4 linked regions of the Caenorhabditis elegans genome follow. The protein of the gene in region 4 interacts with the protein of the main gene of each other region in a pairwise test. Each region holds a gene or a part of one and is shown on either strand. Other genes may lie near its edges.

What was found.
Region 1: the proteins of Y41E3.7 (region 4) and ret-1 interact in a two-hybrid assay, tested with the Caenorhabditis elegans proteins (one large-scale study listed by BioGRID).
Region 2: the proteins of Y41E3.7 (region 4) and snb-6 interact in a two-hybrid assay, tested with the Caenorhabditis elegans proteins (one large-scale study listed by BioGRID).
Region 3: the proteins of Y41E3.7 (region 4) and Y65B4BL.4 interact in a two-hybrid assay, tested with the Caenorhabditis elegans proteins (one large-scale study listed by BioGRID).

Annotation. Positions count from the first base shown.
Region 1 is NC_003283.11:14,842,558-14,850,651, reverse strand, and holds the start of ret-1 (Reticulon-like protein), read left to right. Parts: upstream 1-3,339; coding exon 3,340-3,436; intron 3,437-4,055; coding exon 4,056-8,094.
Region 2 is NC_003280.10:8,856,903-8,863,092, reverse strand, and holds snb-6 (V-SNARE coiled-coil homology domain-containing protein), read left to right. Parts: upstream 1-3,396; 5' UTR 3,397-3,473; coding exon 3,474-3,554; intron 3,555-3,595; coding exon 3,596-3,674; intron 3,675-3,751; coding exon 3,752-3,798; intron 3,799-3,843; coding exon 3,844-3,945; 3' UTR 3,946-4,027; downstream 4,028-6,190. Other genes in the region: npr-20 (Thyrotropin-releasing hormone receptor), read left to right, coding at 1,571-1,728, 2,063-2,180.
Region 3 is NC_003279.8:501,313-510,015, reverse strand, and holds Y65B4BL.4 (Dolichyl-phosphate-mannose--protein mannosyltransferase), read left to right. Parts: upstream 1-3,765; 5' UTR 3,766-3,803; coding exon 3,804-3,923; intron 3,924-3,966; coding exon 3,967-4,196; intron 4,197-4,244; coding exon 4,245-4,356; intron 4,357-4,410; coding exon 4,411-4,510; intron 4,511-5,561; coding exon 5,562-5,693; intron 5,694-5,737; coding exon 5,738-5,791; intron 5,792-5,883; coding exon 5,884-5,959; intron 5,960-6,803; coding exon 6,804-6,954; 3' UTR 6,955-7,125; downstream 7,126-8,703. Other genes in the region: Y65B4BL.7 (uncharacterized protein), read left to right, coding at 128-268, 593-754, 802-1,044; P-granule-associated protein deps-1, read right to left, coding at 1,140-1,211, 1,259-1,478, 1,525-1,634, 1,685-1,918, 1,968-2,072, 2,121-2,261, 2,311-2,562, 2,608-2,739 and 4 more; Y65B4BL.3 (uncharacterized protein), read left to right, coding at 7,986-8,087.
Region 4 is NC_003282.8:15,012,280-15,020,246, forward strand, and holds the start of Y41E3.7 (Golgi resident protein GCP60), read left to right. Parts: upstream 1-1,755; 5' UTR 1,756-1,764; coding exon 1,765-1,873; intron 1,874-1,921; coding exon 1,922-1,989; intron 1,990-2,039; coding exon 2,040-2,110; intron 2,111-2,975; coding exon of another isoform or gene 2,976-3,057; exon of another isoform or gene 3,058-3,217; intron 3,218-7,626; coding exon 7,627-7,743; intron 7,744-7,967. Other genes in the region: qars-1 (putative glutamine--tRNA ligase), read right to left, coding at 242-577, 649-897.

The sequences.
Region 1 (8,094 bases), on a different chromosome or scaffold from region 4:
TTAAAGAAAATGTCTGAAAAGCGGATAAAAAACTGTAAATTCAACTGTAGAGGTATGCAGTTTTAATTAAGCCTGGTGTGTAGGCACATAGTTGCCTGCCTGGTTGCTCCGTGCCTGCCTTGTGTCTACTACAAAATACACATTTTCCGGTCTATAGGCAGGCACGTAGGCAGGTAGCCATGAAAAAAAACTATGTTTATCATATCCTCATTTTTCAAAAGCTCAACATTTTTTGAAGTTTTGGCAATAAATTGTTTGTTGCAAAAAAAATTTAACATCGCGGTATTTGACGCTTGGTTAAAACCTGAACCAGGTCCAGAGTCTCGACCAACTATTGCCAACTTTTGAACGAAGTCAATAAATTTTTTTAAATTCTGGACAAGAAGCTAGCGAAGAAATATTTATTAAATATATTAAATAATTTTTCAACCCACACAAATTTACTTTAACAGGCTCAGGGTTTTCTGTGTTCCTTTTCTTTTCATATCTTTTCTGGCAAAAGGAATCATGTGGCATTTTTGAAACTATTATAGTAAAGTTCAATATTTCATTAAACTCTAAATTTCTATTTCCATCAATCTCACCAATTTCTCCTTTCCATGAAAAAGTCACCAACGCATTTTGGGAAGAAAAAAAGATTAATCCGAAATGAATTGAAAAAGGAACAAAACTTTCACTTAACCAACGAACAAATACCACATGGTTTCTTTTCACTTTTTTCTTATCAAATGAAATCATACAGTCTCAATATGATCCACCCATAACCACACAAACCAGCAGAAAAGTGCGGCAGTGGAAAAAAAACGTTCGGAGTGAATGTTTCCCCCGGTCACGAGGTGGCGATTCAACTGGGCAGCAGCCTGCGTCTCTTGTGTCTCTAATTCTCAATCTAGCCAAGTTCATACTGCCATGTCATCCTGAGAGATGGAAAAGAAGACGAAGAATTTCTATTCTGAATTTGTATGTGTGTGTAAGCGTGTGAATACGTTAAATAGAATGGCAGGTAATTATCTCTCCTGCTCCGCTTGCTCCGTTGGCTACTCTGGGTGTGCCTATGATATTGCTTTTGTAGGTTACCCGTAGTTAATGTAGTCCATTTTAAATTTGTTTCCCTGTTGCTAAATCTATCTACCATTTCGCACTATTTTTTTTCTTCTTCTTCTTCTGTTTCTCTTTTTTGACTAGTTTTGGCTTATACGTTGCTCTAACATGTTTGAGAAGTTTTGCACATTAAAAAAATAAGATTTCAAAAATTTTTGGAAAATTTTTGAGAAGTTTCAGCGTAATTTCAGAGTTAAAATTCAGATAAATTTTGAGCGATTTTTTTAATAAAAAATTAATAAATTATTTAGAAACGTTTTTTTTTGTTTTGAGACATTTCTTGTGCAATTTGTGTTCAATTTTTGAGCACTATAAAAAATAATTTTCCATATTTACGGTGCAATTCTAACAATGCTGAGTTCCCAATTTTTCCTGACGTTCTCCAACTTTTCTGACATGCCGTCAACTCTTTCATGAATTCCAAATATGAATGTTCCGTTTTGTTACTTCAAACTAAGTTTATACTGACAACTTCCTTTTTTTGGAAATGATTCATTTAGACTTGATATAATTAATTACCTGCCATTAGGTTTCTATCTTCTTTTCTATTGGCAGAATTATCTATCTTCTCTCGATCTTTTTTTTTATTTTGTTTTTTGTTTCATTTTCATTTTTTTTTCTCAAAATTTCATTTCACAACTTTCTCAAGTTACTCGATCAACTTCTTTCTTCTTTTCCAAAACTTTTTTCTGACAAAAAACTCTGAAACCCAACCCTCTCCCCCAATCCACGTCATCAAAACTCTCTGACCTACCTGTCAATGTGATTTACGATTAACAACAGATGCCCCTCTTACATCTGAACAGCCGACACAGCACGTGCTTTAAATGTTCTAGCTGTCTGCGTATCTAATATAAACTGGCATTTTTGTATGTTATAGATTGACAATTGACTGTAACTGGGGGAATGGAAACAGTTGGAAGTTTTCAAAATAGAGGTTATGGAAATAAAAACAATTTTGTTTGTTTGCTTACGTCACTCACCACACTCTTTCCATGAACATATGAGTTGATATCAATTGATAACATGGAAAAACGAGACAAATTGCATATTGCTATATTTATTTTCGCTTTTTCAGATGTCAGACTTTCTAAATTTTCAATATTGTTACTACTAGTACTGCTTCTTTTTTTGTGAGCTTATATCTTGGCTCATTTTTTTAAAAAGAGAAACGTCAGTAGGAGAATTGTTCAAAATATCTTCTATAGTGCAATTACCACTAAAAATTGCAAGATTTATTTACAATCAAGATGTGCCAATTTTAAATTTTCGCGGCTCATAAATTTGAAAGTCATTTTTTAAATCAACCAGAAAATGGTTTTTTATAACGGGTTTCAACATAAACGATTGTTTTGGATTATGTGAATTTGAAAAAAAATTTAATAAATTTGTAATGTTAAAAATATATTGTTGTTTTGGCAGTTTCAGAATTTTAATTGAATTTAAATTTGAATGTCAGAAAAAATTCAAAAATAAGTCAGTTATTGGAACTTTTTTTCAAAAAATATTTCCTTTGCCAATAAGCACTATAAAATCAGCAGTGAATTCGAAAAAAATTAAGTGGCTGTTAAATAAGTCAATATGCGTTTGAACAAATGACGTAGAAATTTGAGATCGACTTTTTCTTATTCACATTCGTGCTTCTCTGCGTGTTTTCCAAAACACGGTCGCTCTGTTTTGATTTCAACATAATATTTAAACAGGTGAACAGACCGCCATGCAAGATTTATCGGTCAATAAAAGGAAGCTGAAAAAACTAATTTCGAAACCTTCGAGAACAGAAAAAAAAACTGTTTCTCTTTCATGGGCAGGCATTTCATGAGATTTTTAAGTGCTTTCCTTTAAATAATTTTGAAGCCACCATGATTTTGAGCTTATCACTGACACCCCCATCTTTCCCCTATTGTCATTTGAAACGTATGACTTGGATCTCTGTTTGAGCTGAAAAAGAGATGAATGAGATGAAAGAGAAGAAGACAGAGGGCAACAACAAAAAGAAAAACAAAATAGCACAAAAGAGCGAGATGATCGAAAACCCCGAGAGAAAGCAAAAATGCTCATCACCTGCGGTGAGACGGCAGCTGTCCCCGCAGAAATATCATGTACCTGTGCGGAGACGCAGGGTATACAATCACATGGTGAACTCCTCGGGGTCCCTTCATCTCGTGTCAGCACATTTTTGTGAGCTCCAAAAAATTTTGTCACGAAAAACACCACTTCATGGATGCTGAAAACGAAATGAACGCTGAAAATGTCGATGTGGAACTTTTCTTTCGAAAACCACCGGAGATCACAAATTTTGAGTTGGTTAAGACAATTTGGATTGACCCGAAAGGTGAGTGTTTTTTCATATTTTTTTTAAATTTAGTTTGTAAAAATGCAGTTTGAAAAAAAAAAATTGAAAAAGCTTGATTTCTAATAGATTGTATCTCTTGCTAGTTTTTTTTGTGAATTTTGAAAATTTTGAAGTTCATAAGAAAAAGCATTATATAACTTTTTTAACTTAAAATTTCTGAAAAAAAACTTTAATAAATGTTCCACGTATCCAAGTAGGCACATATCCGATATCTACCTCTGAAATTTTTGTTTTTGATTTTTTCAGTTTATTTCTAGACATCCCGCAAAAATGATTCAAAAAATAGTTTTTAGGCATTAAAAAAGATAAAAAAAAATTTAAAAAGATAAAAAGGTAAAAAAGTCGACAAAATTATGTGGAAATTGTTTGGATTCCGATATATTTCGGAAAAAAATCTGAAAATCAAATTCGAAAACCCATATTAAAATATCGGAAAAGAGCTTTTGGAGCATTTATAGGTCTCAAAAATAAAGCAAAAAAACACTGAAATAATTAAAAATCAAAATTTAAAAGGTCGAGATTAATGCTTTGTCAAGGTCTTTCACTTAGAAAAAATAATATTCTTAAATTTCCTTGGAAAATCTTTTTGTCATTTCAGAGGAGACAAATTCCACAAACGAGCCAACATCTGAGCATGAGCCAAAATCCCTCCAGCCACTTGCTCTTCAACCCCTTCAAACTCCTGAGTCAGAGTCCGGTGGGTCCTCTTGTTCTCATTCGGAAGTTGAACAACTTCCTGACGATATTCTCAATGAACCTCTTGATGATGAAGTTTTTGAAGAAGAAGAAGAAAATGTGCAAACTGATTTACTGTTCCGTCAGCCAAAGAATTCAGAAATGGAATTAGCTTACACCATTTCAAAAAGTGCCGAAATCAACCTGGATGAATTGGAATTTGAGGATGAGGAAGTCGAAGTGGATCTTTTGTTCCGTGAGCCAACTGATCGTCGATTTGAATTGGTTTATACAATTCCAATGATGGAAGATGTGAGTATTGATTCTCAGGAAACCATTACTTTTGAGGACATTCCACCATCTGAAGAACTAGATAACGTTGTGGAAGAAGTTACAGATGTTGCTGAACTTACTGAATTTACATTTAAACCAGTTGAAAAAGATGAACAGACTGAAACTGAGTCATTCACTACAGTCCTAGAAGCGAATGCTGGAGAAGGTGCAAGAGACTTTATCGAAAGAGTTAAGTTGACTTCCAATGACACTTTGGATGATTTGGATGATGATCCTGAGGAAGAAACTTTCCAAAATTCGTTTGTAAAATCTGTGGACTCTAAGACGCCAACTCCAACAGGAGACAATTATGAAATTGAGGATTCCTCTGTATCTGATGTTCTCAAAGATGCAGCCGAAAAATTGCAAATAATTCGAAATTATTCTGCGGACTTGGAATCCGAAAAAGATACAATTAATACGGATGTTCAGCATGTCTTCATTGGTCTTGAGGATGAAGGTGGTGTTATACCAATAATCCAAGAAACACAAGAATATGTTGCAGAAATTGGACCTACTCAAGATAATCAAGAGTATGATTCTACTTCTAAAAGTGATTTGGAACCTCAAAGCTCTGCTGATGGGGTTGTGGAAACTTCGACTTTCGAAGCCCCAGCAGTCTTCGGATTGGAAGATTCTGAAGATATTATAAATAAGCATGCACTGGAAACAGCATCAAATCAAGAATTCTCGAAAATTAAAGAGCCTGAAGTGACTGAAGTTTCTGAAAATACCGCAGAAAATTTGAACGAAGAAGTTGGAGAATCTAAGAATCCGGAAGCAATCGATCTTGTAGAATCTGGAGAGAACGCAGGCATCGAGCAAAATGCAGGAGCTGAACAATCTCAAAAAGAAGCGGTTGAGGAAACTTCAAGTTTTAAAGCCCCAGCAGTCATTGGGTTGGAAGAATCTCGAGATATTTTGAAAGATCCTTTACTTGAAACTGCACCAGATCAAGAAAACTTCAATAATAAAGAATCTGAAATGACTGAAATTGCTGAAATTACAACCCCAATTAGACTTGAATCGTCTGGAGACAACTTCATTGGTACCGATCCAGAAAAGGGCACAGAACAAATTAAAGGTTCTGAGAGCTCCGAATTAGTAACCCAAGAAGTCATTGGGTTGGAAGAATCTGGAGATATTTTGAAAGAACCAGCATTGGAAACTGTAACAAACCAAGAACTTTCTGAAAATAAAGTTTCTGAAGTGACCGAAATTGCTGAAAATATAACCCCAATCGGACTTGAATGTTCGGGAGACAATTTTATTGGTACGGATCCAGAACAGCAGCCAGAGCCCATCAAAGGGATTGAAAGTTCAGAATTGGATGTCATTGGGTTGGAGGATTCTGGAGATGAAGTGAAACAATCACAGTTGAAATCTTCAGAAGATCAAGAATTTTCTGAACTTAAAGAACACGATGCATCTGGAAATGTTGATGAAACTGGTGAGAGCGCAGATATCAAACAGGATGATGTAACGGAAATTGTTCAAAGAGAAACGATTGGGCTTGAGGATTCTGGTCTTGCAGAGATTGTCGCTGCTCATGAGAAAAATTTGACATCTTCTGATATTGACAGTTCTGTGATTCCGGAAGATGCGGAAAATGCATCTCCAGAGGCGATTGGCCTTGAATCTTCTGGAGACAACTTTATCGGTACGGATCTAGAACATGAAGAAGGTCAGATTGACAATTGTGAGAGTTATGTATTGGAAACAGCAGCTGTCATCGGTTTGGAGGATTCTGGAGAGAACTTGAAAGATTCTGTACAGGAAGATCCACCGGAGAAAGAATTCTCTGAAAATAAAGAATCTGAAGTTACTGGGGATGTTGAAAATACAACTGCAATCGGACTTGAATCTTCAGGAGAACACTTCATCGGTCTGGAACAAGGACAGCAAGCAGCTTCCATTGAAGCAAATGAGAATTCTGAAATGGAAGCTCCAGCAGTTATCGGTTTGGAAGATTCTGGAGATAATTTGAATAGGCCTGCATTGGAAACTGCATCAGATCAGGAAAGTTCTGAAAATAAAGAACCTGATGCATCTGAAAATGTTGAAGAAACTGAGCCAGTTTCATCTGCAAAGGTAATTGCGCTGGAATCATCTGGTGATTGTGAAGAAGGAAATATCAAAATATCTGCTAATGAAAATAGCGTGGAACCTGATGGGGCTGACAAACCAGCACATACAGAACAAGAAATTCCCACAATAATTTTGCCGTCTGAAACTACAGTCACTCAGCTAGAAGATCATCTTTCTGAAACTGAAGAGAAGCAAAACGAAGTAGAAAGCTCAATTAAATCAGAAAAAAATGTGATTGGACTTGAGGATTCCGGAGATACTTTCCGGGATACGAGTGGCCTTGCTCCTGCTGAAGACAATGAAGCTGAAGCGACCATAACTACAGATTTTGTTCCACTGGAATCTGCGGGAGATATTCCTTCTGAGAACGAGATCAAGGAAGTAGCATCTGCTCCTGATGTTGTTGGTCTTGAAGAATACATCATTGGAAACATCCCAAACGCTCCAGTTGTTAATGATGATATTCCCAACGTTTTTACTCCGGAGGTAGCCAATGATGAAACAGTGGAAACTTTTAGTGTTACAGCAGAAGAAGCTTCTATTCCTGTTGTTGTGGAACTTGAACCGATAGGTGACGAGTACGAATTTCAGAGACCTGTAGAAAACTTCTCGGAACCATCAGATAACATAAATCTTGAGGAGAGTGGAGCCGAGCAGGTCTTGTTAGAAAATAATATGTTTACGCCACTTGATGAACTTGAACCTCAACAGAAAATCTTAAACGAAAAAGCGGAGCATATTGAAATAGAAGCTTCTGGTGATGAGTTCATCAAAGATCACCCATTTCCTGTTGAAAATGAACAGAATGTCAACGAACAGAGCTCGAGAGTTGAAACCGTACATAGTTTCATTGGACTTGAATCTTCTGGAGTTGGTTTGACTGGAGCTGTTTCAGACTCAGTTGCCAACAATGTCAAAGAGAATACAGAATCCCCAGATATCATTAGTCTCGAAGCTTCTGGCGATGAGCTTTCAAAGCTTGTTGAAGCTCGAGAAATTATAACAGAAAGTAAAGACGCTTACTCTACAGATGTACCCGAAAGTCGTAAAACCGTTTCGGATGTTATTGGTCTTGAAGAGGCAGGTGACAAAATTGTTTCGAACAATGTTTCCAATGTGATGGGGAATCCGGATGAAAGTCAACTTGCTTTAGAACAGGCAGACAATGTCCCCGAGCTTCCAATTGAGAATTCGGAGCAAGAAACCGTCGCTGTCAAAGCTACAGAATCGTGTGATCACGTTGTTGACTCCCAAAAGACACTTGAAAGAGCTTCTTCATTAGAAGAAGACATCATGTCGCCAGAAGTGTTGGGCATCACAAGTTCCCAAACACTTTCTGATTATCTTCCGGTTATTTCAGAGGATCAAGACAGTATTCCAGTTCCAGTTACTGAAGTTGAAGAAACTTCAGAGAAACTGGTTAAAGCATCATCTTTAGAGGAAGATGTAGTCTCGCCAGAAGTCTTAGAATTGGATGACAGAGTGCAGAATAAAAATCCTGAATCGGAAGTAACAGCAGTCGATGCTTCTAAAACTGAAGG
Region 2 (6,190 bases), on a different chromosome or scaffold from region 4:
GCTCAAAATTTCTTGATCAACTCCAAGCAAAAAATTCAAAAAATTTCATTTTTTCAAACAATTATGAAATTGCTATGTTGCTGTTCAGAAATGTATGAAACGTACATTACACAAGTTTTAACTCTCTATTCGCAAGTAAACCGTCGAAATGATCTACATCTCACGAACTTTGTGCAAAATATTTAACCAACTTTGAAGTTGCATAACTTCGTTGAGATAAATTATTTTGAAAAATGATCAACTAACAAAATGTTTGTTAAGTAACAGTGAACAAAGTTTTAGTTATAAACTTTTTGATACCTCCAGCTACAAAGAAGAAAACAAGGTTGGCATTTGGCTTGTTTTTCTATTAACATTGTGTTTTGGAAAACGGTCACAACTTTTTGGTGGCTGAAGGTATCAAAAAGTTTATAACTAAAACTTTGCTCACTGTTATTTAACAAACATTTTGTTAGTTGATCATTTTTCAAAATAATTTATCTCAACGAAGTTATGCAACTTCAAAGTTGGTTAAATATTTTGCACAAAGTTCGTGAGATGTAGATCATTTCGACGGTTTACTTGCGAATAGAGAGTTAAAACTTGGGTAAACGTTTCATACATTTCTGAACAACAACATAGCAATTTCATAATTGTTTAGAAAAATGAAATTTTTTGAATTTTTTGCTTGGAGTTGATCAAGAAATTTTGAGCAAAAATGAAAAAAATAAAAATTTCCAAAAAGTGCGGACAATGATTCTAGGTTCCCGAATAAGAGTAAAATCACTTTAAAAATACGCAAAAATGTTTGAATGAGTTGTTTTACAACTTTATTCAACTTACAAAAATATTTCAAAAAAAAAAGGAATCGAACCAAAGCTTAAATCTTATCAGACGCGCGCACTCCCAACTCGGCCACCGAGGACATTTTTCAACTCAATGTGGTGGGTGTCACATTTTCGGTGGTCACGCAAGCTGAGATTTGCGTGGATTGCATGGTAAGACAGTGGATTTCAATGGTGTTTTTAACTGAAATTTCAAAACGTCATAACTTTGCTGAAACTTGACCGGGGCAGCTAAATTTTTTGGAGAGATCATAACTAACACTCTTCTGTAGGAATTTCAGCATGAGAACTCCAAATCTACGGACCCCCTCAAAGACTTCCCTTGTAAGGGTAAAATAGTTGTTTAAAAAAAATTTAAAATAGAAGGAAGTGATTTACACACGTGTAGATTTTGTTCTGCTCTCGACATGTTTACCGCATATTTCCTTGGTTTGTTTTTAGTTAACTAATAGTCTAGGTTAGAAATAACATATAGCAATGATTATATCGCAAAAAATACACAATGGACCTTTAGGGTTGAAAGAGAAACCAAAAACAAAATTAATTCTCAAGAAAAATAAAAATACTTAGAACGGGATCCTGGTTTATTGAAGAACCAATATTGACAACTAATTTATTTGAGATTAAATTTTCTTTTTGATTAGGAATCAAAGTGAAGTGGATGTTAAAACATCAAACGATTTTTGAACAATTTGAACCACCACTAATAATTTCGATTAAAATTTTAGAACTTTAAGTACTTTCAGAGTTTCCAAACTGGTACCATCTGCAATTCAAATTGGACAATGATATTCCAACCACTGTCCTATATATTCTTGTTCATATCTTCAGCGATTAACCCAATTCTATATGCATGTTTATCAAAACGGTTTAGGAATGCACTATCTGATGTAATACACTGCAGGTTAGTTTATAAAATATTCCACAGAAATACTACATATATTCTTATTTCGTATTGAGACTAATAAAATACAGAATTAAAAATCAGTTAGATAAGGTTTCAAGACAATCTTTTGCTCTTTGTACATCACTATAGTATAGATTCTGCATTTAAATTTATTTCTGGATGAGACGATTTTCACAGTCGTGTGCTGTGTGCGTTGTGCTTTGCGTCGTTTTGTCATAAGATCACAGAGTACAAAATTAGTTCGCAAACTCGAATCTAATACTTTGATATTTGTGTACTTATTTTAGGAAAACTTACTAGTGAACAAATGGACTATCTATATTTTTTTCAGGAAAGGAGTGTTCTCAAGGATATCTCGCTCCCGAAACAGGACGCTTGTCAGCGATGTTCCACCAGAAGATTCTCGATGTCCAAGTCCTGCTCCAATCAGAATGCACAGGATTCGTTGATTTAAAAAAAAATCGTTGCTGTAAATACTTGTTTATGTACATCGAATTATAGCTCAATTGTTCACTGCAACTTTTTCCTCACGAGGGACGAGGAAAAGTGGTTTCTAGGCCATGGCCGAGGGGCCGACAAGTTTCAGCGGCCATTTATCTTGCTTTATTTTCCGCCTGTTTTCTTTTGTTTTTCACAGCTTTTTCCCGTTTTTTCTTATTAAAACTGATAAATAAATATTTTTTGCAGATGCTAAAACAATTTCCAAGTAAAAAATAATGCTATCAGTCGGCAAGTAGCGGTGAAAGTGGGCAATGTAATTTGATGGATTACGGGAATAAAAAACCCAAACTTTTTCTGAAACATGGTATATATTCTGCTTAGAGGCTGAAACTACCCGATTTTTATAACGAGACCGCTGAAAAAGTTTTGAGATTTTCAAAACTCGACATTTTGTGCGAAAATCTCGACTTTTTCACCAAAAAAGTTGAATTTTGAAAACCTCAAAACTTTTTCAGCGGTCTCGTTATAAAAATCAGGTACTTTCAGCATCTAAGCAGCATATGTATCATGTTTGGGAAAACGATTGGGTTTTGTATTCCCGTAATCCATCATATTACGTTGCCCACTTTCACCGCTACTTGCCGACTGATAACATAATTTTTTTACTTGGAAATTGTTTTAGCATCTGCAAAAAATATTTATTTATCAGTTTTAATAAGAAAAAACGGCAAAAGGCTGTGAAAAACGAAAGAACACAGGCGGAAAACAAAGCAAGATAAATGGCCGCTGAAACTTGTCGGCTCCTCGGCCATGGCCTAGAAACCATTTTTCCTCGTCCCTCGTGAGGAAAAAGTTGCAGTGTTGTTCCGGAAGTTGAATTATTTTTTACGGGTTCCTTCGAGTATAAATGAACTTTTCTTTTCATAAATTGTCCAAGTTGTTCTAACATAGAATACATAGTGAAATGCGGAAATAAATGCCAGTAATCTAAGAAAATGCGGGACTGGCGGAGAAAATAAAGAAGTCAGCTTTCTCCGGTAAACCGATAATTGGGAAAAGTTTGTTTAGGAAGGATGTTTTAGAGTATTTCTACTTATAGGGTTTTTCAAACACTTGTACTACATGAAAGGTCTCGAAAAATTAAAGAGTTCTAAAATATACAATTCTTATATCATAAATTAATGCCCCGTGAAAATCTTGTTGGTTAGAAAACACACGTGCCATCATTCCAACAAAAATGAATTAATTTCAAAAAGTATCAATACATTTTATTTGCTGAAACAGCAGACGCTAATTACTTCATGATTCATCAACAACTACCAGTGAGTCGTATTGGTTGGGACGATCAAAAGATTATGAGAACAAGACAGGAATTGAATTCGGTTTGACATTTATCATTAGAAAAATGAACAATTATATTTAGGTGAAAATCATCATGAAGGAGAACGTGCAAAAAATTATGGAGAGACAGGGAAAACTTGACGATCTCGTTGAAAGAGCTCGTAAGTTTCATAAACTGGGAGTTTTGGTTTCAAAAAAATTAATTTATTAGAAGTAAAAAATTAAGATTTAATTTCAGAAAAACTCGAGGAAGCTTCAGATGTTTACGTCAAGTGTGCTGTCAAGGTATTTAAAAATTGAAATAAACAACAAGTTAATTTAAATTTTTAGATCAAGCGTGAGATGAGCTGGAAAGCCAATGCTATTCGTAATGGTATCATCGCCGTATCAAGTGTGTCTGCTTTTGCCGGAATCGCATACGCATTTCTCTGAATGTTCAATTTCATATATCAATATGATTTATTGATTTAACAGCCTCTATGTATTGAATAAAGTTTTGAATTTAGAAAAAAAACATTTTTGTTTGTTAAAGTTTTCTTTCAGATTTTCCAAAATTGCGAACAAAATATTTTAAGTTGTTTGCCACTATTGTGAATACTAACTTCTAAATTTGTTTTCTTCCTTGTAATTTTCCAGAACCTTTTCAGAAAAACATCACTTTCTGATCCAACCAAATCATTAATCCACTTGACAACTCAACGATGTTTATTTTTTGTCCCAAGACATTCCATGTTTTCCATCATTTCATCGTGTGACCCATTCATTCATCAACCCTGAATTCAAATGCAAATTCTGCTGAATCACTGATCAATTGTCTATAAAAAAAAGTAGAAATAGCTGGAACCTCGATCGAATCTATTTCTTTTTCCCACGTCACAGTTAGTTGAATAGTCGCTGTTTGTTCAATTGATACTATCGTCAATTTATCATCTACTGAACCCTTTGAATACCTGTTATGAAATCATTGTTCACTGAATATCAAGAAGCTATCAATTTATTCGATATGATTGGTGAATCCACTTTACTGTCTATGAAACTGCTATTCTAAGTAAACTGTATCTCCTCGATTTTCAGTAACATTTAGCGAATGAAAGTTAAGATAAATTTCTTTGAATTCTTTTAAAAATTTGGTGCAGATACTATTAGACTAAAAAGTTTTTGAAATAATTAAGGAATGTGTCAATATTGTAAAACATATTTGTTTGTTATATGGCTACGGGAAATCTGTTGCCGGTTTTTCGGTGGTGCGGTATTTTTCTAATAATATTTACTACAATTTTAGGCTCTGTGAAAGAACTGAAAACCTTTTTTATCTGAAACATCTAGAACGTGGAATAAAAACTCCAAAAAAAATGAATTTACAAAAAGCTATCGCACAATTAAATCGTGGACCATGTCGTCAAGATGCGGATTAATAAGCCGAACGGTAGACGTAGACAGAAGCCGTAATCTCTCTCATATTTATATAGTCTCCTTACTCACTGTGAACAGATGGCGCTCGTCCGTATCCTCCCGGGATGACCTAGTACTACTTTGGTTCAACGCGCAGACATAATGACCTTGCATTTCCTTTTTCCCGTTCGTTAAATTATATTTATGAAATAACTCTACTCTCGTTGTGTTATCATTCTTTGATATATCACATCGAATGTGTGTTATTGTTTTTGTGATAATGTTTTTGTGTCAGAGTAACCTTTCAAATTAAATTTCAAAATTATTTAAAATACTGTAATTCCTGCATTCAAATAAAACTTCATTCCTATTAAAAATCTGCAACATTCGCCAACTCAATTTTATTTCTAAAACACGTTTCTGGATTAGTTTCTCGGTATTCACGCTATAAAACATAATTAGGTCACTGGAACCAATTATGACTAATTTCAAGTGGTTGTTCACTTTCAAAAGTCAAATAATTACTGAAGGTGTTCCAATGTTGTTCAAGAAGTCACAGTCATAATTAGAAAAATTTGATTGTGGTCAAAACAAAACTACTTAATGGTATTAATAGTAAATGACCAAAATCAAATAGCTATTCATTCACTCGACGCAATTTTTTGGCATTTCATCATAAGCACGGCAAGTCATAAAACGAATAGTAAGTTATTGAATAAAACAGAATAAACTAGTTAGGATACCGGGCAGTCACGTAATCGTTTTGTTGATTTTATTATTCAAAATACACAGCGAAAATGAACGACACGATGAGCTGAAGCTGTTCAGTTGAGTGGGAGATAGGGAAAGATAATTCATTAAAGCAACCAGTTAATACATTTTCAAAATAATAAGTATGTCATATGACTTTTATTCGTCAATGTTCCAACATTTATTTTCAAAAAAAACTGTTTTGGATAATTGAGGAATGCTTAATCTTGTTGACCATCAAAAAGACCAAAAATAATGTTTACTGTTTTTAAATTGAAAAACATCTTTGGAAATCATACTTATTTTTCTTTAAAGTTTTTAACTTTAGATAATTCAAGAACAAACTCAACTATAATTTTTGCAGTTTGCTTCTTTAAATTGGATTTTTAGGGAAGCTTTATGACATTTTTTCATCTATTTATATCGGAGATGGTTATAACAATTTTAATAAAAGTTTCATCTTCCCAATCAGGATAAATAGTTAGCGTAACTGTTTGTCAAACGATAAGTTTGCAGTAAATAAATAGGAAGGATA
Region 3 (8,703 bases), on a different chromosome or scaffold from region 4:
GACTCCGCCCACTCAAATCGCTGATGGGTCCTGCAGTTCTCATTTTGGAGGGAATTCAAACAGGAAATTGTCGAATTTAAGTTTTTTTTTTTGGATTTTTTAAAAGCAAAATCCTCCATTTTTCAAGATTTTCGCGTTACTTGGCAACATATTCATGATCTACCAATCGATACGTGACATTCCGCGACAATATCGATCGATTATTTGTGATGCTTTCGGGTTCAGCGATTGTTTGGATAGTTTGGAAATGCAAATTCCCATAGTTGAGGTAAAAATATTATATATTATTATCCAGACTTGAAAATTTCAAATTTTTTTTGCTACAAAAATGCAGTGGCCGGGTCTCGACACGACAACCTTTTGTTAAGTTGAATGCGGAAAGAGTGTGTGCGCCTTTAAGGAGTACTGTAGTTTCAAACTTTTGTTTCTCGGGAAAACTGTAAAATCGATTGCAACAAAAGTTTGAAACTACAGTACTCCTTAAAGGCGCACACTCTATTGGCATTCAACTGACAACAAAAATTTGTCGTGGTGAGACCCGGCCAGTGCATTTTTTAGAGCAAAAATCGCCAAAATTTCGCATTTTTTGCAGTACTGTGACCTTTGCCTCCGTGTTTCCATGGAATTCATGTTCCCGGTGGGTGTGCTCATTGTGTTCTCGATCACACAGATTCTTATCACAGTATCTCCGGGAATGGCTTCTCGTATTCGGAATCCGATTCCATCACTGGCTTCGTTCATCTATATGTCATTTGTTTGTTTTTAACCTTCTGATACACCTAATCTTTTCTGAAATTTCAGTTTTTCAAGTGCATAACGAACTTGCTCACGTCTATCGCGATGCTACCCTATCTTGGATGTACCGATCAACCATCATTTTGGGGGGAGTATCTCGCTGCCGGCTTGTTGGGACTTTTCTGGATGTATTCGCTGCTTAACATGGGTGTATTCACTAGAATAACCTACCACAACTTCATTAGAGCACGAGAAAATTACGAGAGACAAGTTGTGCGGAATGGGATGGTGGTGGAACTTGAAGTTTAAATAAATAAATGTTTGGTTGGATAACGGGTAGATTAAAAATGAGCAGAACATTTGAAACACAAATACGGGGGAAAACGGGATGCGTATATATTTAATTAGACCCTGGAAGATGTTGAGCTTTGTGGAGTACCAGATGGAGTTCTGCGGCTTGAAGGGCCAACGAATCGCTGAAAAACTTGTTTTTATCATCTTCCAACCTTAAAAATAAACTTACGTTTGAGCTCACTGAAGTAGCTGCAGATGCTCTTGATTGAATTGATGATCTGGATCCAATGGAACTTCCAGCTGGCGTAGTTCTGGCCGATGTTGCTCTGCTCGAATTCGCGCTCATTGCAATCAACGGAGGACAGATGGCTGTCGAGCATACTTCCATGATGGTAGCAGCACGGCGACAATCATTGACAGTAATGGATTCACGGACCCATGCCAGGAACCTTAAAATTCAGTTACAATTATTTTTACAAATCCTGACACACTCACTTTCCTCTACATGGAGTCTCCAACTCTCTGAAATCCACAAATCCCATCGAATCACTCTCCGCCAACTGCTCATGATCGCAATTTGGCTTCAAGTACACTTGGAACAAGCGCTGAATATTTTCCTCATAGAATAAAAACTATTAAATAATTGAAGACTAACCGTATCACCAGAGACCGAGTAATTTTTACAAGTGAACGCTGGACATGGAGAACATTCGGTGATCATAATTTCACTGTCGACTCCAGCTTGTCGCTTTCCAACGAATTGAACTCCTCCGCCAATGGGGATTCCTTCCTTCAAGTTATTGGGGATTTTGAAGTAGACATTCGGATGTTTGGCACAAATGACAGTGTCTTCATTGATTCGAATTCCTTTGACTGGACCAACAACGAACTGAAAAATTCAGGGGTGAAAAGGACGAGTTTAATTTAACTTTAGAGACCTGAGTATCACGAAGCCAGTTTTCAAAAATGGACATTCCCGATGTACGAACAATGCGGTAACGGACAGATTTGTTTTCTGAAGTTCGAACAGCACGAACTTCGGCCTGAAAATTGAAAGCGTTTGTTTCAAAATAAGACCCACTCATGATTACCATAGCCTTCAAGAATTCATAACCAGCTGGATGAAACTCGAAGAATGAAAGAAGATGGTGTGGGTCATCAATCAATCCAAGAGTGCCCTCCTTGTCAACGAAGAGACCTCTGATACTGGCAGGAACGACGCGGGTAAGGAGCTGAAATAAAAATTATGTTCTGGACAAAAAAATCAATATTATAACTTACATTTCCGTTGACAGAGGTTACATGCTGTCTGAGAAGTGGAACTGGCTGAAGCTCATAGATCAGAAAACCGTTGTGCTGCATCGACCAAATAGCACTGAAATGAAAGTATTCTCCGACGGCTGGGTAGATCAAAGTCTTGTCCGTTCCTCGGGAAAATGGCTTCTGCAGTGGGATAATAAAGTCGAACTGCGAGAGTTCTTTGCAAATCAGTAGGCGTTCGCCGACATACAGGCCAAGCTGCATCTTGATGACCTGCAAAATCAAATTGTCAACGAGAATCCACAAAGCAACCTTAACCTCGGCCCATTTGTCTTCTGGCAAGTGCCAGCCTTCTCTCGGCTCGATATCAATTTCGTCGTCGCTATCAGCAGGCTTTGGATCCGGGCGCCAAACACCGAATTTAGAGTCAGGAGAGCCTGCGTTCCATGGCTGAAAGTTATTTGTTCAAAATCCCGTAAAAAATTTTTAAAAAGCAAATACCGCTTCACAGACGCGTGCTTGGTCGGATGGATCGCAACTGTCAAACGATTCGAATGTTGCAGTCATATTGAAAGGATCTAGACCACTCTTCATGGTAGTTTCGAATCGAATCCAGGCGTATAGCCAAACGTCTGGCTCCGCACGGGTCGCCTCTGTCTCTGCTGAAATAAATATATGGTTAGAGAGACGAAAATCAAGAAGAAACATACGCATGGTGACGGTGCATAATGGCGTCCAGAACGAGGTCGTTGAGGTGGGCTGGATGACGCCACCGACTTTCAAAATAAGTCCATTTCTGCTGGAAGACGCTTCATAAATTGGTTTTTCTCGTTTGATATGAAGGATTATCCTCTTATCGTGATCACAGTCCGATTCGTTCCATAGGATGACTTCACCGAACTTTAGCGGGATTTTGGATCGACGTCTAAAAATTCAAGTGTTAACAGATTAAAAATGGGCTCAAATCAAATAAATACTGACTCAAGATTTTTTGCCTCTTCGATATTATCGAAATTCCTCTCCAAGTTTGTTGGAACAAATGCGCACTTGGAGACACCGTACATGATGTTCTTCGGGGCCGCTTTTCCCTGAAAACGAGCTTATTATTTTAAATATGAAAACGGAGGGAATTCACGTACATGAGCTTGAATGAGATAAACGAGGTCCGTCTCCGAATCTTGGTTATCTTGTCCAGTGGAGGAAATGACGATACCTTGATAGTCAAAATATTTGGATTGGCGTTCTGACATTTTTGTCTGAAAATTGGATTTTTTGCAACAAAAAAATGATGAGCGAAACGAAAAAAAAGAAAAATCTGTAAAAAACGTAGGATTCGAAACAAATTTCCCACGAGAAATCAGATGCGCGGCGCAGTGGTCTCACCACGAAGAGCTACCGTACCTTAAAGGCACATTGGTGTTCAATGGCGGAAAAAAAAGTTTCGAATTTTTCCGTTTATTTTTCCATTAAAATTCTGTTTTAAAACTTATTTTTTCTGATTTTTCAGCGAAAAAATGGCAGATATTAGTATCCGCTCGACAAATTCCAATATATCTCGAGGAGCACGTCCGGAATCAGGCCGCCTGCACCGAAAATACCCGTATCGCTGGCTTTTCGATCAAGTTCATGTCAAAGTAATCGATTTTTTCCGTCTAAAAGCTAAATTTTAATTTTCAGAGCCTGATATTCCATGTGGAAGTGGGAATGCTCGCCATTGCCATCATCGGGCTCTACAGGGCCAGTCAAATGAGTGTCGACGAGCATTTCGAGCCGCCATCCGTTCCCGGCTTCGATGGACTTCAGTGGAACGGCGAAACGTTTCGAAACTTCAATGGAGTGCTGATCCGCCCGAATTATGTGCCGGCTCGGAATTTAATCAATATTTTCTCGTATTTTCTGATTTTTAGGTAGGGTTTCAGGGGATATTTTAGACTTTTTCCATCGATTTTCTTCAGCATCGCAACCGGATTCTTGGGAATGAGGCTCTCCGAGACGAGCATCACACGTCGAAACTTTCCCCGGAAAGTCAACCCGGCTCTTCTACTCATTCCATCCGCAATTTCTGTGGTATTTTGCTAAAAAAAATCGATATTTTCCCTTGAAAATCCTAAATATTTTCAGATTTCCATCTTGTACCCGCTCTCCGTGTGGACGCTGCGGACTCTTTACTCAATAATAAAGCTTTTAATCAAGGAGAATCTGAAATTTTCGATTTTGTTAGGTAGAATTTTTAATTTTTAATTTTTAAATGTGGACTACACCCTGTGGGGAAATTGCTTTAAAACACGCCTATGGTACCACAATGACCAAATATCACGTTAAAAAACTTCAAAAAAAATTTATAAATTTTATATGATTTTTTGAAAATTGAAAAAATCTGAAAAAGTTTTTGCCTAATTCCTATTTGAATTACCGCCAATTGAACTCGTTCGTTGGAGCGCGCTTGCATTATTTTTTTTATTAATTTATTCTATTTTTCTTCTATTTTTTCATTCCGTGATTATTTTCACTCGGGAATCGCTCGCCCACTATGGGGGAGTCTACGCAAGGACAACGCAAGGACAAGGACAACATTTTAATGGAATGGAAACGATTGCCCGACTGCACCAATTCTAGTTCAAGCGAACAATGATAACTTTTGTATTCTGTATTCCTTCACGTCTCCCAGCGAGCGTAATAAATTATTATTATTATTATTATTATTATTATTATTATTATGTCACTGATTTTCTTCATTAGTTGTGTATTTTTATCGGAAAGAGAAGTAAAAAAGCAAGATTAATGCAGAATGTTTGCTAAAAAGTGTTTAAAAATGTGAAAAATACGTAAAACTGTAAAATAATGAGTTCCGACGACAACAAACCTGAAACTAGCATATTTTTCAGTTTTACGCATTTTCAGTGATTTTTTAATCGGAAATTTGCATTTATTTTAACTTTTTCTCTAAAATTCAAGCAAAAATACACCGAAAACATTGAAAATCGGTGGAAAATAACAATAAATAAAATAAATAAATTTAAAAACGTGCAAGCGCGCTCCATCGAACAAATCCAATTGGCGGTAATTCAAATAGGAATTAGGCAAAAACTGAGATTTTTTCGATTTTCAAAAAATCATATAAAATCTAGAAAAATTTTTTGAATTTTTTAATCATGATATTTGGTCATTGTGGTACCATAGGCATGTTTGAAAGCCATTTCCCAACAAGGGTGTAGTCCACCTTTAAAGATTTTTAATTTTTAATCTGAAAAATCTTGATTTCTTCACTCCAGACGCCTGCCGATTGTCGTTTCTTCCCATCATCCTAGTGTGGGCAGTCTATATTTATTTTCTCTACGGATTCTGGCTAGGCGTGCTATATTACCAGCGACGAGGCGATCAGCCATCTCCGACTACCAATAATAGTGGGTTTTTCGAGGAATTTCAGGCCGAAAAATGAGAATTTTAGGCCCTTTTCGACGTCCAATCCGCAAGCAAACTGCTCTTCGATTCCAGGGAAAAGGTTAAAAAAAATTTTTTTTTTTGCTTTTTCGTATTTCTATATGCACTTTAATAGCGGAAATCATCAATTTAGCGTTTATTCCATTTTTTCAGCCAGCGTCAATTTGTTCTCGGATCTCACGGCTGTCACCAACGAGCTGGGCTCTCCCTCCTCACCATCGTCGAATTGGTAAATTATTCTGTGTTTTGGAGACGGAAATCATTGGAAAAAATATTATTTATCTGCAAAAATCCGAGATTTTCCTCAATTTCGCTATTTTTCAGGGTTGAAATCGCAAGAATTTCGGAAATTTGACTTGGAAATTCCCTAAAAACCTCTTTTTGCTACGTTTTTCGTGTAAAATTCACTGAAATTCTGTTTTTTTTAAGTTTTTTCTCTGAAAATCGTTAATTTTAGCCGAAAAATTATTGTTTAAACTCCGCAAAAAATCCGAGGTTCTCCTCAATTTCTATATATTTCGTGTAGAAATTGCGAAAATTCTGATTTTTCCTTAAAAAATTTCTGAATTTTTTCCATTTTTAGTATAAAATTCACTGGAAATCCAGTTTTTTGCCTTTTTCCCTTCTAAAACCGGTGTTTTCTCTTAAAAATCATTGACCAGATAAGATTTTTGCACAAATTAGGCATTTGCACGATTTTTCAGAAAATTTCCATTCGCAAAAAAAATTTTAAAAAATTTTTTAAACCTTTAAAACCGCTTATCCTCATTTTTCTGTAAAAAAATTGCAAAAAAATTGTTTTGATGTTTTAAACTTGAAAAAACCGTTTTTCGCCATTTTCTGCCCAAAAATAGCAAAAAAAAATTTTTTTTTTGATTTTTCAACCCTAAAAACAGCTTTTCCGCATTTTTCTGTCAAAAAAAATTGTAAATTTTTATTATTTTTTACCCAAAAAAACACCGTTTTCGCCATTTTCTGCCCAAAAATAGCAAAAAAAAATTTTTTTTCGATTTTTAAAAATTTATGCTCTCAAATTTCTCTCATTTCCTCCACCAATCCTTTCAATTTTTCAGCGTAATATCCACTGCAACCACCTCAATTCCCTCCACCAGCACCAGCAGCACCACCACTCCAAAACACAATCGATCAGTATCGCCACGTGGATTCCGTCATCTGGAGACCGTGGACGAGGAAGCGCAAAGCCGTACATCATCAAGTGATTAATATAATATAATAGAAAAGGCAATTAAAACCGATTACCAGATTCCGCAAATCTTCATCATCATCATAATTTTACAAAATTGTTTTCTAATAAACTTCACATTTCTCTCTCTATTCTCTCCATGTATATCGGCGGTCTATCGTCACTTTTATCGGTAAATGTACTTTTATTTTCTTTTTTTTTTTCGTGAATTTCGCAAAAAAAGCAGCATCGCACAGAAAAAGAGGCGGAGCGTAAATTCGCAACCCTGCGGCACGGTTTTTTGTTGATTTTTTGAATTTGCAAAAATCGCAAGTAATATCAAAAACCGTTCCGCGGTGTTGCGAAACTACGGTCCGCCTTTTTTCTGTGCGGCGCGGTTTCTAATCCCCGCCAGGCTGTCCCATTATGGTTTGATCTACAAAAAATGCGGGAATTTTTTGTCCAAAAATGTGTGGCGCCATGCGAAATCAGTTGAGACCTCTGCGTCTCTTCTCCCGCATTTTTTGTAGATCTACGTAGATCAAGCCGAAATGAGAGACACTGACACCACGTGTGCTTTTTGATTCGTGAATTTCGCAAAAAATCAGCATCGCACAGAAAAAGAGGCGGAGTTTGCAACCCTGCGGCACGGTCGGTTTATTGTTGATTTTTTGAATTTGCAAAAATCGCAAGTAATATCAAGACTATTGAAAAAGATCAACAAAAAACCGTGCCGCGGTGTTGCGAAATAACACTCCGCCTTTTTTCTGTGCGGCGCGGGTTTTAATCCCCGCACGTGGTGCCAGGCTGTCCTATTATGGTTTGATCTACAAAAAATGCGGGAATTTTTTTTTAATGTGACGTCAGCAAACTCTGCATCTCTTCTCCCGCATTTTTTGTAGATCAAACCGAAATGGGACTCTCTGACACCACGTGATACCCCAATTTTGAGAATTTTGCTCCAAAACAACTCGGGTCTCACCACGAATAATTTTTATTATTTTTTGTCGTGTCGAGACCACGAAATTTTCCGCTTATTTATAATATTTTTCTGTTTTAGCGAACTTCACAAATGTATCAGCCATGCCGGAGCACCAGCTCACGTGGCAGAAGCTCGGAGGAGGTGAACGACACGTTTCATCAGGTCTACGTGCCACTTTTGAAAATTACTATGGTAAAAATTACTATTTTGCGGTATTTTGGGTCTCGTAGCGAAACAATTATTTGATTTTTGGGAATATTTCACCATTTTGTGTGGCTTTTTGAATACGAGGCGCAAGTGCGCTCCACTGCCAAAAACGTTTTCCACAAATTGTTCGTAGTTGTTAATGATTTTTATGTCGATAAAATGTTAAGCATAAAAATTGAATTTTTTTAAACCTAAAATTTTTGAAATTTGCCGAAATTAATTGAAAACTTGAAAAAAAAAGTTTTTTTTTTGAGAAAAAAAAATTTCAGATAATTTAAAAAATACAAGAATTCGTAAAATTTTATTTTTACGGATTGAAAAACTTTTGAAAAGCTTTTAAAAAGTAACTTGAAATATTTTTAAATCAATTTTTTTGCTGAAAAAACTGAATTTTTTTTGCGAAAAAATCGAAAAACAGAAAAATGTTCTAAAAAGGTACTGTAGTAGTACTGCAGGGGTACTGTGGGAGTACTGTAGGATTACTGTAGTTTGGGAAAAATTACGTGTTTGTTTTTTGAAGGTATATTGGGTTGTATATTGGTGGGGGACAATGCCAAGGTACTGTAGTAGTACTGTAGGGGTACTGTAGGATTACTGTAGG
Region 4 (7,967 bases):
TCAAAATCGAAGAAAAAATTGGAATTTTCCAACAGAATGCAGTGGGCGGAGCCGATTCGCAACCGCCGCACACTTATTTCGCAAGCCTCGCACGCTTTTTCTCTTGAAAAGAAAACGCGCGAGGCTTGCGAAGTAAGCGTGCGGCGGTTGCGAATTCCTCCAAATTTCCGGCAAAAGTCCTGAAAAATGTAGATTAAATTCAATAATTTTTTTCAGAACAGTACGGAATTTCAGGCCTTACTTTCGGGCCTTCCGGCTTCTTCTCCTTCTTCTTCGGAGCCAAATCCTCCGCAGTCTTCGGTCCGAGCAGCTCCAAGAATCTCAAATCCACCTCCTTCTTCGTAATCGCACCATCAGCCCATGGAAGCAGAGCTCGTAGCTCGCCGAGCAACTTTCCGGCCGGGAACGAGTACCGCTCGGCGACGATTTTCTCGCGGTGTTGGCCAATCACCTTGGTAACGGCCGCTTCGATGTCGTCGATTGTGACAACAACGCCGACTCCGCATGATTTCTCGAAATCAGGCACTTGGATACCTTTAACGGTGTGCGAGAGAAGATACTCGATCGCTGCGGAGAGCTGAAATTTTTTTGAAATTTGGAAATTTAGCTGTTTTTTTTTTAATTTGAAATTTAATTTTAATTACAAACCTGTGGCTCTGTCTTAATCCCGTCATTCATAATATACTTGACAACTAGTGGAGTGTGAGCAGCGACTTGTGGCTTCAACTTTGTCGCCAACTGGTACAAAAGTGTTCCTTTTTGCTTGGAAATCTCGCCAGACTCGCTCGCAAGCTTCACAATTGAACCGATCGTTTCGGTGAGCTTCACATTTTTCAGCGTTTCAGCTACTTTTGAATCAGAGAGGCCCAAAGAGAGAAGCTCCTCCTTTGTTGCCATTTTTACCCTGGAAAATTTGTGAATTTTTTTGAATAATTTGAAGTTAGAAAGTGGAGAAGCGGAAGAAAATTCTAGAAAATAAATGTTTTTAAAGAAAGTCCAGTTTTCCGTTTTCTGAGTTTCGCGGAAAGTTGCAATCTATAGAAAAACTGAAAAAAAAGCAAATCGCTTCCTGAAACAGCCTAAAAAACCTTGAAAATACAAAATTTAGGGAGAATTTAGAAGATTTTTCGTCGAATCTCGGGAAAATCTTGAATAATTGAGTGAGAAAACAGTTTTTACAATAAGGAATTATGATAAAGTTGCAAACATCTGGAGAAATTCCAAATTTCTTGATTTTAGCCGAATAACCCTAAATTTTTCAGTTTTTTCCGAGTTTTTCGCGGGATTTGAGTTTAAATACAATATTTCTATATTTTTAATCAAATTTTTAGCCTCAAATCTGGAAAAAATAATTTTAAAAAAGCCAAAAAACCACTGGAAAACTTTTAAAATAGGCTTTTCCTTGCTAATTGCAGCTGAAAACTGCAAAAGTGTGCATTTTCGCGTGCCGGTGTTTACACACAAAACATCACAAAATGGTGTGCCACATCGGATCCACGTTCATTTTTTTCAGCGTTGTTCTTCGTGTTTTTGCATTAAAAAGTTCTGAAAATCTGGATTTTTTATTGATTTTTACTTCGAATTGTGATCTTTAATCTAATTTCTATGGATTTTATACCGAAAATGTCGAAATTACATATGAAAATTGCTAGAAACCGGCTGCAATTCTCATTTTCTGATTTTTATCTGATTTTCTTTCCAGTTTCCCCTTGATTTTTATTGCGCTCTGGCATTTTAAAAATCAATTTTCGCACATTTTCAGAGATGGCCGACGAGAACCACGTCCGTCTAAGCGAGGTTCAACTGATTCAGTCGGAATTCGGACATTCTCTCGAGGAATGCTACAAGCTTGCCGTTCAATATTATAAAAAAGGTATTTTTTGATTTAAAAATTCTTTTTAAAAAATGAGTTTTTTTCCAGAACACGTCGGGAAACAGGAGCCTGTTGGATATGAAGATCGCATTAAATTGCTCTCGTTGAGCAAACAAGTGAAAATTCCAGTTTTAAAATCAAAAATTAAATAAAAATTAAATTCCAGGTCCAACATGGAGAGATTTCCGATGAATTTGACAACGCTGGATGGCTAGATATCACTGGAAACGATGTGAAGTGGGTGATTTTCAATCAAAATTCTAACAAAAAAAAAGAAAACACTCTATTCCTTTTCCAATTTCCCCCCACACCCTCATTTCTCGAAAATGATGAACAAAATTGGAGAAAAAAAAGAAGAAGGACACACGAAGACGCAATCTCCAAAAAATTTCATTTTGTTTTTCATTTCCTATTCTATTCCAGGATAGAAATCTCGGAGAATTGGCAACTTTTCTTCTGATTTAATTAATTTTTAGCGGTTTTTCTTCAGAAATTTGATCAAAAATTGAATCGATCCGTGAATTTTGCACAGAAAAAGAGGCGGGGCGTAATTTTGCAACCCTGTGGCACCGTTTTTTAATGTCGATTTTACTAGTTTTATTCTTTTTTTATCGAATTAAAAGGTTATCCAATTAAATTCTAGTAATTAATTTAATCTGAATATCCTTATAATCTTATGAGAATTAAATTTTATAACATTTTAATTCGAAAAAAAGATAATATGACAAGTAAAATCGGCATTTTATTGAAAAAAATCAACAAAAAGTGGAAAACGAGCTCCAAAAAAGAGAGAAAACGCTGGTTTTCTGGCGAAATTCACAATTCTTCCACGCAAAACTATGTAGCTGAAAATTTCAGAAAGTTGGAAAAAAAATCCAATTTTATAATTTTTTTACAGTTTTTTTTTACAAATTCAGTTTTCTAGGCTTCTCTTCTGGCGCCCTCAAGCCATTCTCAAACTTTAAATGAATTTTCCAAAATTTTAGGCTAAAATCCTCCAATTTTAGTGCCTTCTCCTCTGAAATTAAGCAGCAAATCTGAAAAAGCTGTCAAAATAACCTATTTTATGGCAATTTTGCACCTCAAATAGAGCCGTTTTCAGCGATTTTTCGAACTTTGTTGCTCGTCAGTACAAATTCGTGTTCCTCCTCCTGCTCCACCACTCGCCGTCTTGTTTCGTCTAATCCATTTGGGACGTTTATACGTGTTTTGTGTGTCCCGGCGGCTTCTTCCTTCACTTTTGCTACTAGAAATTATTTCTCTTTGAAACCTCTGTCCGAAATATATTTTTTTTTGCTGGACGCCTTCTTTAGAACCTTTTCAAGTGTGGCCAATTATCGTAAAAGCAGGCGGTGTGCAAATTTGATTTTCGAGAGAGAAGGAATGTTCAATGTCTACCAGTTATTTTGGCTTTTTCCAAGGATTCGTTCAGTTCTTTGACGAATAACAGCCCCACGGGGTTCTGGCCTTCCTCATTGAATTTTTCGCGCTCCATTGACAATCGCTCGCCGGACTCCACACGGACAAATACATTTACATAGTTTTTCAACTAAAATCGAGCCGCGACGCGACACGCAACGCGCCGTAAATCTACCCCCGAGCCAAAATGACCTAGTTCGGCAAACTCTTCCATTTCAAGTTATGAGGGAAGCCAGAAAACCGTGGCAGCCCGAAAGGTCTTCTACTTTTGATGCTCTCGGAGCTCTGAGCCAAAAAGCCCCAAATATGGATACAAATCCATCATGAGCTCACCTCATAAGAGCCGGCTCTCCTAATACTCATCAGTCATTTTGTATTCTTTCCTAAAGAGATAGACATACATGTTTTCAAAAAAGAAAAGAAGTTTTTGTCGAGAATTCGTCACAAATTGATTTTCAGCCTCTTTTGTCGACGAAAATTTCAGCTACACCCACCAATTTGGCTCTCCTCCTCCTCCTGCTCAAGAGGAGCAACACTGAAATCTCTGGAGAATTGGGTGGCTTCTTCCTCTCCTTTCATTCCTTTTTGCCCTATTTCTCTCGTTTTTCCGTCTGTTAAAAAGTTGACGGCACATCCTTCTGTTTTGTTACTTTGTTGTTTTCGAGGCGGTTTCACAATTGTCTACGGTATTTCCTGATTACGGAACTTTTTTCTGCGTGCGGATTCTGAGTTTTTCACGGGGTTCTGGCCCAGATATGGCAGAGCCAAAATGGCCTAGCTCGGCAAACTCTTTCATTTAAATTTATGAGAGGAAGCCAGAAACCACGCGACGCCAGACTGTCCCATCACGATTTGATCTACAAAAAATGCGGAAAATTTTTTCCTCTAAAAATTGTGACGTCAGAACGATCTCAACCATGTGAAATCAGAAGAGATGTCTGCGTCTCAACTCCCGCATTTTTTGAAGATCAAATCGGAATAAGACTTTTCGGACTCCATGCGGTGCACCCGTAACGTGACTGAGATCGTGGCAAGACCCACTTATCATGTCAAATTTTCGGGAAAATGTCCTACCGTACTTACTTGAAGGAAGAACCTCTCATCAACATTCTACAACCAAAATGTAGTCCTCATTGCAAGAAGAAATACGTCATATTTCTCTGTCTATCTACATTCCAGTACTTGTGTCTGATAATCAGGAAGTGCTGATATCCATTCCGTGTTTTTCTCATGACACTTGCTTTTTTTTGAAGAGAAGTCACCTTCGCCCTCCAGCAAAATTTAAGGTTTTCCCACGAGGATATCCAGCGTTTCCTCGTGTTTCTTTAGTAGTAGTTCACTTTTTTTCTGGTTTTGTTTTCGTTGGATTGCTTTCCTTTGTGGAAAATCAAATTTTCTACCGAAATTTGTGTGGGGATTCTCTCGCTACTCTGGTCTGTTCTTCTGACTCACGTTTTCCGTTTCTTTCCATCCAAGAGACGTACAAAAGTAGTAAGAGTAAACACACAGACGAGGGGAAGAAGCTTCTTCCTCCCTTTTTTTCTATTCGCCAAAATTGAATTTGTGTGTAGCTCCGCCGTCCCGGGCGGACTTCGCCTTCTTCCTCAACCCAAAAATCTAACTTAACAAGAAGGGAAAAAGAAGTGACAAGGACGCGAGGAATGCTAATAAGATGATGGTGTTGGAAGGGATGTGGGGACGACGACTAGTTGGACAGACGACATCGGCTTCTTCTTCTTCTTCCGTTTTTTTTTGTCAGAAGATAACGTCTTCTTTGACAAGACGGCAGGGATGACAAGTTTTCAACCTTTTGTTCTTGTGCTGTTTGGAATCGCAACTAGGGCTGTGCGGCTGATGACTCGGCTGATGGAGCAAATCAACGTTTTTCAACGTAATAGCAATGATCAATTAGGGAATACTTGTATTTGCCATATCGGCTGAGTCTTGAGCTTCTAATTCTAGAAAAAAGTTTTTAAAAAAGTGCACACCCCTTCCAGAAAAACTCGTTTTTCCAATCAGCCGACAGCCGACAGCCGAGTTACTCGGCTGATTCAAAAAGCCGACTGTTTTGTCAAGGTGTGTGCACTTTTAAAAAAAACTTTTTTCTAGAATAAGAAGCTCATGACTCAGCCAATACTGCAAATACAAATATTCTTTAATTGATCAGTGCTAACACGTTGAAAAACTTGATTGTCTCCATCAGCCGAGTCATCAGCCGCACAGCTCTAATCGGAACCTACCTGACAACGGTAGAAGGTTTTGGCCACTGTCTCCTTCTTACCAGGTTCTCTGAGCCCGAGGTTAGATCTACGTAGACACGTGGTGTGAGCCTGTCTCATTGCGGTTTGATCTACAAAAAATGCGGGAATGTTTCCTCCAGGAAAGTGTGACGTCAGCACACTCTTAACCATGCGAAATCAGTTGAAAAGCCTGCGTCGAATTTTTCGAAGATTAAACCAAAATGGGACACTTTAACACCACGTGCGTAGATCTACGAAAATGGCGGGTATTTAGACGCAGACTTCTCAGCTGATTTTGCACGACTAAGAGCTTTCTGACGGCACATTTTTCTTGGCGAAAAATTCCCGCATTTTTTGTAGATCAAACCGTGATGGGACAGGCTGACACCACTTAGCTATTATGTTGCCGGGTTACTGTAGTTGACGAGAAAATGATCTACTCAACATCTTCAACTCTTCCGATATAATTGCAAGTCTATAAAAAAAAATAGATGACTATAAAAAGCGGCTATTTGTCCGAGATTTATGACTATATGTCTATCTACTCAACTGAAAGCCTTTTCTGAGTGGTCATAGATCAAAATTTGGACGAGTTGGTAATCAAATTGTGTGGTAAAACCCAACTACCCAAATGAACTTTCGGAATTCTTGTCTTTTTTTCAATTTTACAAATTAAGGGTCTCCTCCTCTTCCACCCAATTTTCAAGTGTTTTTGTAGCTTTTGAGCACTTCACTTGGCTTCTTCCTCCTCCTCAAATCCTGAAATCCTCTCTCTCTTTCTCGGCTAATCCTTTCTCTTTTTGAGCTGACTGAGAGGAAAATGAGTGAAAAATTTGCTGCTTTTCCTACCTTGAATAACACAAGAGTGTTCCTTTTCTTCCCCTTTTTTCTTCGATATCACCTATTGGCGGGGGTGTCTGATGTGCTCTTTTCTCCGGCTCTTTCCCTGTGTGCATGCACTTTTTTTTTGCGGAATAGAAGATGTAATTGATAGATTTGAGAAGGTGTTTGGTGTGTCACATGCCCCATGAGAGAGAGAGAGATGGAGTTTTCAGCACTTTTTGGTGATCTACTCCCTGCTTGGGCGCTTTTTGATTGGCTCCAATTGTTGGGCTCGGGGCGGTCTTGAAATTCTGCCCCAAAAAAGATTTCCAAAAAAACTGGAAATTCTTGCATTGGATTCGCTATTTTTCCGTTGAGAAATCTCATTTTTTGATTTGAAATCATCAGAAAGTACTGTAGGATTACTGTAGTTTTCTTGTTCACTCGCTTTCAATGCAGTGCACAGAGCAGTTTTACTACGTGGCCGTGCGAAATAGAAAAACTCGGCCACCCAAAAATCGCCAAGCTTCTTACAGTGAAAAATCAACGATTGGGCGAATTTTTGATTTTTCTAGGCCATGTTCCAAAAACCGCTCTTATGGAATTCAAGTAATATTGCAAAATGTAATTAAACACATTTATGACGTCACAACTGTACACGGTGGTGTCAGAGTGTCTCATTTCGGTTTGATCTACGTAGATCTACAAAAAATGCGGGAGAAGAGAGACGCAGAGTTCTCAACTGATTTAGCATAGTTAAGAGCGTGCTGACGTGAGTTTTTTGGGCAAAAATGTCCCGCACTTTTTGTAGATCAAACTGTAATGGGACAGCTTGGCATCACGTGCCGTGTGAAATCAATGATTGGCCGGCCGAGTTTTATGATTTTTCTAGGCCACGTACCAAAAACCGCTTTCTTAGATCTGTTGATCTAGTTTTTCCGCGATGTTTGCTCGAAATTTTCCTGCTAAAAGAGCCAAATTGCGAATCTGAGTGACCTGGCCGAGTTTTCTCTCTCCCCAACGGCCACGTATTACATACTTGGGCTCTTTCATGACGTCATTATCTCCAGTCCCGCATGATGATAAATTGAATGTTGTTCTGTGTTACATCTCGAGATTATATGACGAATGCTTGCTCTTTTTCTATCCCAATCGAAAAACAACTGAAACCTAATAGCCAAGCTTGAAGTAAAGAAGCTCAAGCGGTTATTTCTTCGTTTTTTTTCCATTCCGTTACGTATTTAATCTTAATTTTTTTTTTCTTATTTTCAGCAAAGCTTGGCGTGAGCTGGGCTCGTTGTCCCGCGACGAAGCGATGGCCTCGTTCGTCTTCCTCGTCGATCGTGTGTGTCCGCCGTTCAAGGGATTCATTGCCGATAAGAAGGCTATGTGAGTTTTGATTTTTTTTTCAGTTTTAATTTTGAATTTTTTGACCCTAAAAACGTATACTTTGATCACTTATAAAGTATATAGTCGCATTGAATAAAAAGAAAATTGTTGGCAATAAACATTTGAGTAAAAGTGAATAACAAGTAGAATTAGAACTAGGAAAACAGAAGGGATATGATGTAAAATCATTCATTTTTTTATTTTCTGATGGCATTTTTCCGACA